Linked DNA regions of Arabidopsis thaliana. The protein of the gene in region 1 binds, or shares a complex with, the protein of each later gene. Each region holds a gene or a part of one and is shown in the gene's direction. Other genes may lie near its edges.

Evidence for each region.
Region 2: LSM3B (region 1) and LSM2 share a complex: the UniProt entries of both Arabidopsis thaliana proteins name them as parts of the heptameric LSM1-LSM7 complex.
Region 3: LSM3B (region 1) and LSM6A share a complex: the UniProt entries of both Arabidopsis thaliana proteins name them as parts of the heptameric LSM1-LSM7 complex.

Annotation. Positions count from the first base shown.
Region 1 is NC_003070.9:28,853,885-28,857,477, reverse strand, and holds LSM3B (Small nuclear ribonucleoprotein family protein), read left to right. Parts: upstream 1-1,727; 5' UTR 1,728-1,840; coding exon 1,841-1,957; intron 1,958-2,293; coding exon 2,294-2,389; intron 2,390-2,800; coding exon 2,801-2,884; 3' UTR 2,885-3,064; downstream 3,065-3,593. Other genes in the region: AT1G76870 (transcription factor), read right to left, coding at 1-228; SEC5A (exocyst complex component sec5), read right to left, coding at 3,196-3,417, 3,507-3,593. UniProt on the Arabidopsis thaliana protein: Component of LSM protein complexes, which are involved in RNA processing. Component of the cytoplasmic LSM1-LSM7 complex which is involved in mRNA degradation by promoting decapping and leading to accurate 5'-3' mRNA decay.
Region 2 is NC_003070.9:817,425-821,334, reverse strand, and holds LSM2 (Small nuclear ribonucleoprotein family protein), read left to right. Parts: upstream 1-1,771; 5' UTR 1,772-2,037; coding exon 2,038-2,040; intron 2,041-2,256; coding exon 2,257-2,415; intron 2,416-3,054; coding exon 3,055-3,174; 3' UTR 3,175-3,401; downstream 3,402-3,910. Other genes in the region: AT1G03340 (uncharacterized protein), read right to left, coding at 108-597, 669-740, 834-1,176, 1,258-1,438, 1,552-1,623; AT1G03320 (uncharacterized protein), read right to left, coding at 3,568-3,910. UniProt on the Arabidopsis thaliana protein: Component of LSM protein complexes, which are involved in RNA processing. Component of the cytoplasmic LSM1-LSM7 complex which is involved in mRNA degradation by promoting decapping and leading to accurate 5'-3' mRNA decay.
Region 3 is NC_003074.8:22,094,470-22,098,475, forward strand, and holds LSM6A (Small nuclear ribonucleoprotein family protein), read left to right. Parts: upstream 1-1,999; 5' UTR 2,000-2,127; exon of another isoform or gene 2,128-2,346; 5' UTR 2,347-2,371; coding exon 2,372-2,486; intron 2,487-2,951; coding exon 2,952-3,065; intron 3,066-3,150; coding exon 3,151-3,197; 3' UTR 3,198-3,497; downstream 3,498-4,006. Other genes in the region: AT3G59800 (stress response protein), read right to left, coding at 128-316, 410-456, 548-683, 1,114-1,215, 1,619-1,705; LETM1 (LETM1-like protein), read right to left, coding at 3,820-3,923. UniProt on the Arabidopsis thaliana protein: Component of LSM protein complexes, which are involved in RNA processing. Component of the cytoplasmic LSM1-LSM7 complex which is involved in mRNA degradation by promoting decapping and leading to accurate 5'-3' mRNA decay.

The DNA of each region.
Region 1 (3,593 bases):
CTTGTTTTGACCATCACTACTTAACAAACATAGTTCATCATCTTCACTCATTGATTTCTTTCCTCTGTCGACATTGTTGTGACGTGTATCCATAGTATTGTTAAAGCCTGAGTCTTGTCGAGAATTTGGATGGTGTTGTTTCTGATTCTGATTTATAGCATTTGGACGAAGATCTCTCATAGAAGAAACTTGAGAATCAAAGCGTCCTTGCGAGCAATTTCCTTCCATTTCTACAGTTTCCAAAAGAAAAATCTGAATCAGAGAAAATAAAAATTCAGTCTTTCTCCTCAAAATCAAACTTTTCTTAGATGGATTTCTCCAAATATGAAACCTAAATCATCCGATCAAAGTAAGCTTGTAAACAGAGCAATCGCAATCAAACACTACGAATTCGATAAACTATAAAACATCGCTAACAAAAGACGAAAAAAAAAACTTATCTTTAGAGAAAATTTCATGCTAAAACTAAACGGACCTTTTTAAAACGATTGAAGACGAGAGAGTCTAGGGTTTTAGAGATGAGAGTTCAAGTAGAGAGACGAAGAACTCTGATCACTGAGACAATGCGTGTGGCGGACAAAACATTTAGAGGAAGAAGAAGAAGAGAGTCTTGTTTCTAAATCTTTTTTAGTGACAAATCACAAAAGTTATTTATGTCCAATGTATCAGAAGATATTTGGACCCACCATTTCTTTTTTATTTATTTATTTACGATTGATTTTGGTAGTCACTATGGGTAGAGTATGAATTTGAATTTTGAAATAACTGAAATTTATATGTTTTTTTATATATTAAAAGATATGATTGTCAAGGGAAATCTAAGTATTAGTTTTTTTTTTTAAACTTTTTTTTTTTACTTCCTTATTGAATCATTAATACAACATTTCATGATTCATTACTAAATCCACAATAAGTTTTTATACTCTTACACGTGTGCTTATTTTGTAGAAGCGTTACAATTCACATTAAAAAGGTTAAAAAGTGTATATTTTTTTTTTTTTTAGTATCTTATCGAATTATTAACAATAGTGTCGTTCTTCTTCTATATTGTTTAAATTTATGTTATCTTAGTTTGGACATATAAATTTATATTAATTTAAATTTAGTAGATACAATGTGAGTTTTAAAAACACAATATTGTAGAATTTCATCACCAAATCATGTCCAAGTTATTATACTCTCGCACATATATTTATTTTATGGAACCAATAAGTGTTACAATTCAGATAAAAAAAAGTTATAAATTTATATATAAATATATTAAACTTAAATTTGTATATAGTGATTAAAAAGTGATTGGTATCACGTTTTAGAAGATACCATATTTGGTTAAAAACATTAGTCACAATAAATGATTCTATTTTACACGTATGCTTACTTTGTGAAACTGTCAAGCGTTACAACTCGAAAAAAGTTGTGAAACGCTTGTAAGTAGAAAACAAACGAATCGAAGTACAAAACGTCAAATTTAATATCTTAATTTACATTTTAAAATTAAAATCTAACATTAATATTTGTTTACTGAAATATCTATACATACAAGACCTCAACTCAATTTTCTCAAGGTAGAAGTAGAACCTAGCTAGTAGAACCCATTGATAATCTTTGAAATAATAAAATATGCCGATAGTTTTGAAAAAAAAAACATTTTTTCGCCAACGTTCGTTTATGGGCCTAATATTCTGTTGGGCTGTTGCCATATATTTGTAAAATCTTATTCGTAGAACAAAATTGTTAAGTTCGTGTCCGCGAGATCAGAGTTTGTGTCCGGTTATACGATTCGTCGGTACCAAAACCCTCCGAGAAGTGTTTCAGGTGGGAAGGTATCTCTGTCTACACGATGTCCGGCGAGGAAGAAGCCACCGTGAGGGAGCCACTAGATCTGATTAGGCTGAGTCTCGACGAGAGAATCTATGTCAAGCTCCGGTCAGACCGCGAACTTCGCGGCAAGCTTCACGTACGTTTTCTTGTGCCCTGCTTAGTACCTTGAACTTGTCACTACTTAAAATACTCGTTCCACACATAGTTCGTTTGAATTTTGTAACTTTATTTTGCCGATTTCACTGTTTTGGTGTCGAATTTGGTCCTTTTTTGGGGGAAAGTCTAGGGTTTTGATTTTCAAGTTTCAGTTTCTAAAAACGTTTTCTCGAGTTATGGCGATGAGCTTGCAATTGGGAATTTATGGTTTGTGTAAATTTAATTTTGACAAAGTTCTTAAATTTTGGAAGATTTCTACACTCTTGAGTTACTCACTTAGGTTTGATGTTGTTGTTGTTGTTAATTCTTTGGGCAGGCGTTTGATCAGCATTTGAATATGATTCTGGGTGATGTTGAAGAAACTATCACTACAGTAGAAATCGATGACGAGACATATGAAGAGATTGTTCGGGTACGTGCTTTTTCTTACTCAATAGTTAACTTTATAGGTATTTGAGGGGGATCTTGATGAGTTTCTATCTCAAGTTAAGGATATTGTTAGAGAACAAGTGTACAAGTGTCTTTTAGCTTTCACTATATACAGAAGTTTCAGCTCAATGTAGAACATTTACTTAGACAAGAGATTATATCCTACACGAATCTTATTGTTCTGGAAGATATAAGCTATTGGATCGAAATTAGGAAGGCATTTCCATGTAACTGACTGTTTCTAGTAGAGAAGTCTCTTTCTTTAAGCTTCTTAGGCACACACATATTAGTTGTTGGGACTCCTCTAGGCGGGCTACAATTCTGATCTGATTAGGATAAGTGGCTTTTGTCTCTCATGTATGTGATTAGTTTTGTTTACTATCTCTGATTGCAGACTACAAAGCGGACGATTGAGTTTCTATTCGTGAGAGGAGATGGAGTGATATTGGTGTCTCCACCGCTGAGGACAGCAGCCTGAGTTCAAACTCAAATCTTTTGTGTCCTCTTTTCGTAAGGGGAATTTGTGACTATTCTTGTATTTAGTCACTTCTTGTCTTAACTAAAACAAGCTTGAAGAAGCTACTTTGCTTAAATTTCCAATGCTTTTCAGATACTTTGATCGTGTGATATACTAATTACAACCCAATTATCTGAGTTCACAAATAAAGATAAGAGTCTGAAAAAGACAGACAAACAAACAAAAAAATGCACCAGGAACAAGAGAATTATGATCATTTACGTACAAATAAACGGAGAAGAAATTATTAAATAAACAAAGTTGGTCTCTTATTATCTTCGTCTGGGTCGGGCATTAATGGGAGAACCAGATGATTGTGAGCCTCTGTAGTTTCTGCTTGGAGAATCCATTGATCCTCTAAAGGAAGAGTAGGTAGCTTTGGGTAATGGAGGCGTTGACTCTAATGGGGCTGACTCTGCAAAGCATGCTGTGTTCACACGAGTTCTCTCCAACTCTTGTTGTAGCAATTCGTTTGAACACTGTTTCGTTAGAGCCTGTTCACGAAATAAAACAAAATGATCAAAATTGAGGTTTTGATATTTGATCAAATCTGTTGAAAAGAGAAAGGAAATGTATGTGTTACGAGGAGGTCATCTGCTGAAACAGATTGCTTGTCATCTGAAACTGTGTCTTCGCTGCCACGAGTTGGTCTACGATTATGCCCTGGGGT
Region 2 (3,910 bases), about 28 Mb from region 1:
TGTGATATCTTCACTTTATTCTACAACCTAACATTGACAAATTAACCTTTAAGCAAGCCAAAGAATGGAGTTAGAAACTAGACTCCAAATCATCAGCATTCCAACATTCAACCAAACCTAAGTGCAACCATGGCAATAACTGTGGCAGCTCTGAAGTAAACTTCTTTGATTCTTCTTTCCACTTTATTTGAGACTTCTTCTTCGTTGATTGTTTTCCTATTGAAATTAACAAGGGCTTCCCTGAGTCTACTCACAGACCACGAGAGCAATACCAAACTCAAACTCATTGCACCCTCGAAGAATTGGTTTGCGCAAAAGGGTACCTGCCTGGAAGCAACATTACAAACGAGAAAGAAGAGCACAGCCATACCAGTGCCAGCAAAGCCAATTGAACACTGAGTCAAAAGCTCGAAGAGTTCTCCACGTGATTTCTTTAGAGATAGCATTGTGGTTTTTCTATGTTGTTCATTGCCTATCATCAGAGAGAGAAGGCTCTCACACGCATGAAGACGGTTTCGTTCGTAGAGGTCATATTCCTTATCTCTTATCTTCGGATTTTGTTTCTTTGGTGAAGGCTTGAGCCTGGTTTTCTTCGGACTGTTGGAAATCGAAAGAAACGTTTTTTAAAGATGCAAAAGTACCAAAAACTAGTTGATGATATTAGATACCTCTTTGGAGGAGCTAGTGTAACTGCGTCCTCGGGTAGCTGCAGAGTGTCTATTGGTACTTCACTGTCGAATCTGCAGAATGAGAGGAGAGCAAAAACTTAATGTTAAACCCAAAAGGATGAGACTCATAGGTATGAATCAAACTTGCAGTGAAGAATTAACTACCGCTGAAACTGCGGGACAAGCCGTGAGAGCTTTCTCCATCTTGTTGAGTTCCTTAATCTATGAAACTCAGCTGCCGTAGAGACCAAATCATTCAATTCAGCTCTGCTACTTGAGAACAGAATGTTAGCATCCACCATGAGATCCAATAACGGCTTTGCATATGGTTGCTGAGAACTTGATCTTAAAGCATCTAGACCCATCAATTCAGATAGGAGAGACAAATCGAATCCTTCTTCTTTGAGTTCTTCTTCTGATCTAGACAAAAGGAACTCTAACACCTCCTCTTTTCTTGCATACTGCTGAGTGATCCCCAAGCTTAAACACACAGGGTCTGGTCCAGTTTCTGTTAACCACAGTTCATGTCAGTCGAAAAAAGGGATTACAATTTGGTGAATTCAACTGAAATTTGATCAAAGTCACATACCATGAACATCCATGAGTCTATGCTTCATCATGGTTGAATCAAACTCCAAAAAGTGGTTAGACTTACTAAAAGAAGAAAAAGGTTTCAATGGCTCCAAGAGTTGTGATTTCAGGTTAAAGGAGCTCTCCGGTAATATCTCATATTTTCTTCCTCCAGGATTCACCAGATAAGCCCGGCTTGTCTGAATCATTCATAGACATAAGAACCAAACAAGGAGAAGACAGAACCAGGACAAGAATTCAACGAGAGATTCTAAACCCAAGTGTTTTAAAACAGAGAAAGTAAAAAACTGACCTTGATGATCTCGTTGCTTCTTAGCTCTTGAAGGAGACTAAACCTAAGTGTTGAATAGCTATGAGAAGCCATTGAGAAAAAACTGACTTCTTATTTTTTTTTCTCTTCTTCGTCACAAAACCATGGAAACAAAACGAAAAAGCTTATCGTCAGCAATCTCGCCTATATATGCGTCAGATATTATAAGATTTGTGTAAATCTTTTCTTTATTCAGTTTTGGCTGGTGACCAAAACACACTTTGAGTTTTTAAATATTTACCCTTTGAGGCACTTATTACTTAAATTACCAAGAACATACCCAATCTTTTCAATAATTACATAAATATACCTTTGGTTTCTTATATTCTCGAAATTAACCCAAAGATCATTAGGGTACATACATTCTTTACTCGAGAGAGAGAAGTTCTAAAGTCCTCAAATCCCGCAAAGCTTTTTCAGCTTCTTTGTTGAATTGCGAGCAGAGGTAGAAATCAGCAGGAAACAAAAATGGTAAATTTGAATGCTTTCTTCATCTTCATGAACTTGATTGTTGGCAGTTGTTTTGTTTGACCTAGAAAAGGTTTCTTCTTTCTTCGTAATTATTCATGGGTTTACTCTTTTTTAGCCAATGGTTCTAGGGTTCTTGGAGATTTCGAGTTTATGGTTTTCGATGATGATTTAGGGTTTCTCGTGATGGGTTTTGATTGTGTTTGTTCTCTGGTGCAGTTGTTCTTTTCTTACTTCAAGGATTTGGTTGGACAAGAAGTGACGGTTGAGCTGAAGAATGATTTAGCCATAAGAGGAACTCTTCACTCAGTTGATCAGTATCTGAATATCAAGCTCGAGAACACTAGGGTTGTTGACCAGGACAAGTACCCTCACATGGTAAATTTTCTTTCTTTTAAGCGATTTCTCTAAGAATTGGGAATTTAGGGTTTATTGGAGCAGCCTATTGTTTTTTTTTTGTTCACATAGGCAATATTTTCTTTGTTGTGTGTGCTTGAAGTGCTCTTAAGTGTTTGACATTATACTGGAATTGATCTCACTCGCTAGTTTCTTGCTATACTTCTTTGTCTCGTATTGTAAAATATCACTTATGAACTGATTGAAAGCTTAATCCTTGGCTCTTGCAAATGTGTTTAAGCCTTCACTCTTTTCTTTTTCCTTGCTTTCATTTACTGTGACCAAGCTTGAGAAGCTCTAACGTGATATTGATTAGATTTACAGACGCAAAGGGATGATTTGAAGTGATTAGTGGTTCTGGTTCACATATTTGATTGAGATTGCTGCTTTTGTACTGCAATTTGTCAAGTCTACTCAGGATTACAAAAGATTTGCAATATGTTTGCATGACCAATTTCAATGCATTTAGGTTTTATGGCGTTTATATTGTTATATCTTTGGCACTGTATTTCTTTATCTTGTCAGTGTCACACTTTAGAAACCTTGTCAAATAGTACAATTTCGCTAGAATCCTCCCGAAGATGTTTTTAGCTGACGGATTTGTGTGTTTGTTCTGTGTAGCTTTCAGTGAGAAACTGTTTCATCAGAGGATCTGTGGTAAGGTACGTGCAGTTACCTAAAGATGGAGTCGATGTTGATTTGCTTCACGACGCAGCTAGAAGAGAAGCTAGGGGTGGCTGATTCTGAAATATCTTTGTATCTCCAAAACTTGAATACTTTTCATTCGGCGTAATGGCTTTATAATGAATATTTCCCTGATGTAGAGCCAATGGTATGGCCATGAATCTTGTTCCATTTTATTAACAATGGATAATTTAATTTCTTTTCCTCGTTCAAATGAAAAGCTTATTAAAGCCTACTTAGAAACACCTTCACTCTTGTCAGGCTGTCACTACTTAAGTTTTTCCCTTTCTTAGATGAAGCAAGCAGAGGAAAAACATATAGACTCAGTAAGAAGGAACTTATATAAAGTAATATGAGTTCTTGTTTGCATAGCAGCAATAGGACCTTAACTCTTGTCATTAATTTAGTTTCTTATTTCTGAGATGAAGCAAACAGAGGAAAAACATAGACTCATGAATAAAAATAGGAGTAATTTTCTGCATAGGTAGTGTAACGCTTCATAGGATTTGCATCCATGTACGGTCTGGTTTGCCAATAGGGGAAAGGACCAGCTGCAGCCATATACGGATATGCTGCAGCCATAGGCGGATATTGTGAAATGTGAACACCATCGAACATTCTGGGTCGAGGCATGGATTGGTATGGATCAATTGGACCACCACAAGGTCCACAACCACCATATGGTCCATGCATTGCCCCCATCGAAAACGGGGGATAATGGCTTCTCGAGGCTGCGGATATGGGCCACCGGTGTAAAGGATTGTGTCCACCATGGTACATCATCGGTTGAGCG
Region 3 (4,006 bases), on another chromosome or scaffold:
TAATACATGAGCTATTGTCAAAAATATAACATTGCAACAAGGAAGAAAGCAATCATATCCTACTTTGAGTATTTTGATTGAAGACAATCTTACTCTTTGTAATAGTTCATTTGCAGTTTTGCTTTTGTCAATTCTTCAAATTGCCAAAGAATCTAGAGAGTGGTACAGGGCCATCGGTTTCGTGTTTACTTTTGCTAGAGTGTTTGTCTCTGCTGGACTTGTGCTTCTTCTCCTTCTTTGATCTTTTCGAACTTGATCTTGATCTTCTAGATTCATCTTCATCACTGCTAGATGACGACTCTGAGGACGAATAATGCTGCAAATTCATAACACAACCGATCATGGTTCATGTTAGCATAAGCTAGAAAACCTCACACTATCTGATATAAGCTAAACTTTTAGAAGGCACCTTTCTCTTTTTGCTTTTCTTCTTCTTTGAATCTCTGTCTTTCTTATCTGCGAGGTCATTGAACCATTGGCGACCAGTTAATAACGTCCTCAGAAAGAAGGTTTAGATGTCATGTTAAGTTAAGTGGATTATGTTTACCTTTTCGTGACTTATCACTAGAATAGTTCCTTCCTTTGGAGAGTTTCAACGACCTTTCTGCATCCAGCTGAGCTCTATACTCACGCATCAGTTTATCGGTATCTGCTTCAAGTTCTCCCTTTTTCAATTCTTCTTCCTACACATGTTACACGAAAGAAAGATATAATGTTAAACATTTCCTAATGTTCCATACTCACAATACAGAGAGACTGCTGCAAGTAGTAGTAAAAAACTGATATTGCAGATAATAAAAATGTTTAAAAAATGAGCATGACTAGAGTTACTTGAAAACCGCGAGATAGGGATAGATGTAATGTAGAAGGAAGACACACTCATTTTTATATAAACACACAAAGACTGCGTATCTGTGGCTGAAGATGATAAACAGCAGAGGAAAAGAAAATGATATGTTGGAATAAAGCTTCTAAATTGACGACAATAATAGCAATCTTATGAACACTAAATCATCAATGGTCAATTGATTATCTTCTATGGCATTATAACAAGGAACACCGTTCCATACAACATACAGAAGAACTTAAGTATTAAAAAGGCAAAAAGATTACCTTTTGCTTCTGCTTATACTCTTCCCAGGTAATAGTATGTGTAGTCTTGAGGCTAGCCAAACGAGCCGCATGCCACTCTGGTGTATGAAATGAACCATCCACCTGAGACAATCCTCATCAGAAATGTTCCGGTACCAATGCAAAATATCAAAGTTTGACTAATCCAAATGCTTCTTTGTGTTCACAGCTTACAACAACAATAAAAAGACTCTTGAATCACTGTAACACAAACTCTGATGCTACACTTTTACGAAATCACATTTAAACATGGACTTGATATCGTCTACAAGACCTAGCAGGTATTAGATACAAGTTCTTCCCCCAAAATTGGGACTCATAAAGGATCTCTTGTAGGCTTAATTCTAAATGCAGCTCGATAACCCAACAACACAAAAGATCAACAAAACCATAAGTAAATCAACCAAATTGGAATTTTGTTTGGAGAAGTAAAAAAAAACAGAATCAATTTGCAATGAAGAAGATGAGAGTATGAAAAGGTACAAACCATTCCGTCTTCAACCTCATCCGGCTGGGCGGAGCTGGAACCAACCCTAGATCTCTGCATAGCCTTGTAAGCTTGATTCTTCCCCATAGCTAATAGAAGATTTACCCCACAAGAAACAGTCCGCAAATTCCTTGCAGGAGAAAGAGAATTTAGAGAGATTGAGAGGAATTGTTTGTAAAATCTAGGGTTTGGGGGATTAACGGTCCAAAGGGAGAGGATTTAGGGATCTGTAGAGAAAGCAAACGAGAGAGAGACGAGAACAGAAGAAACTGTGAGGTCGAACCGAAACGCACTGGAGATTTAATTTCACCCTCCAAAGTAAAATAATAAAATCTATAAGGACTAATGTTCAATTATTATTAGTTTTAATATGAAAACTCGATCGAATCGAAATAACAATAATCATATAGTATATAGTTTTGGAAATAAATAATAAAAGCCCTTAGGACCGATTCGTTATTTCTTCGCTCTCTCTTTCTCTCTGTGTCTCGTACTCGAGTAGGTCTCAGGTAAGGAGTTCTTCTTTCAGTTCCTTTAATCCTTGTTAAAGTTTCGATTTCTCTTTACATTTTCAATCGAATTCGCTTCTATTGGGTTGAAGGTTTAGGTTTTTAGGTTTCGGAGTCTTTTTGTGATTCGAGAGATTGACTCTGAATGGTTTTTACCTTTTGAGTTTTTGTAGTTCGAAGAGCGACCAAACTGATTTCAGATCTCAATTGTTTCTGCAGTTACGTAAAGGATCGAGCTTAAAAGATGAGTGGAGTTGAAGAGAAAGTTTCTGGAACGACAAAGACACCTGCAGATTTCCTCAAATCCATCCGTGGGAGACCCGTTGTTGTCAAGCTCAATTCTGGTGTTGATTATCGAGGTGCCTCTCTCTCTCGTTAGATGTTCTTATGTGTTTTGCAAGTTCTCTATCTCTGCTGCACTTTAGGTTAGAAGCTTTGACTTAGGACTAGTTCTTTTGTCTATGTTAAGGGAATTAAAGAGTTGCTTGTATTAAGCCCACTTAAGTAACTTAATTATCATGTTATGTCTTCAGCTTTTAAATGATTCTTTTAAAGTCAATATGTGAAGCTTTTCTTACATTTTCTAAGGTTTCCTTGTGAACATTGTTCAATGGTTTTCTTAAGAACATGTTCCTTTCTGCCTGCAATAAGGTTACAATAGTTGACTGAGATATTTGAATATTTAAGTCAGTTTCTCTCATTATCAAGGCTACTTATATCATTCTTGTTGACTTCTTTCCTTTCGTGCCCGAGTCAGTTTTGTCTATGTTCTGTTCAAGCTTAATGTTGAGTTCTTGATCAAGTTTTTATTACTCTTTTCACAGGCACTCTTACTTGTCTTGATGGATATATGAACATAGCAATGGAGCAGACGGAGGAGTATGTAAACGGGCAGCTCAAGAACAAATATGGTGACGCCTTTATCCGTGGAAACAACGGTAACTAAAATCTCTCACACTCATCCTTCTCTCAATCTTCTTCTTTGTATATCTTTCTTTTTAAGTGTGGTTTCTTTGGATGCAGTTCTTTACATCAGTACAGTAAACATGACTGTAGCAGACGGAGCCTAGGCCCATCATGATCATCAACAACAACAACAGTGGTCATGTTATGGCTGCCATTTTTGTTGTCTTCTTCTACCTCATATTAAAAGAGTAGTAGACATGTACCAAGATTGTCATCCTATGTTCTTCAGTAGATTTTTGGGATACAGACATCACTTTTTTCTTAGTAATATGATACTCTTCCATGTGACCCCAGATAAAGAAGAAAAATTATTAATTTATGGCTTGATACAATCATACAAGCAAACAAAATTGAGTTTGGGTGACCAACAGATCGAAACGAGGAAGATCATTAAAGTTTAGTAATCGAATTATGTCATTTAGGGATCACTGGAAACACACATGTCAAACTAGTATAACCAGTCAATCATCAGATTATCATATTCATAGCCATCGACACATTTGAATCAGGAGTTTCCATTGAAATAAAACGCTCAAGATATCATTCTTGGCGTAATGTTATTTTTAATCTTCAACCTCTTTTCACATTACTAGCAAAAGGTCTCGTATTCTTAGCCGCTTGTATATGTAAGTAGCCTGCTTATGTCTAAGCAGCAAAACATGAAGTAGAGCTTCTCTCAATAAAACTCTCTTCACTAGTATTAAAAAGTCTATGTGTGTCTTAAAATCATAGTATTATTTCCTTCAGCTTGATTCTTCTTCCGTTGCATTTTCTTCTGGCTTGCTTCCCAATCTCCCCAACCTTACAATGTCTTCCACCATAATTCTTCCCTCTGTTGAATAACAGATTTATAAAAAAGATCAACTTCAGGGAGATAAGAGCTCAAGAAGGAGAGGATCGCTCTGTTCTTTAC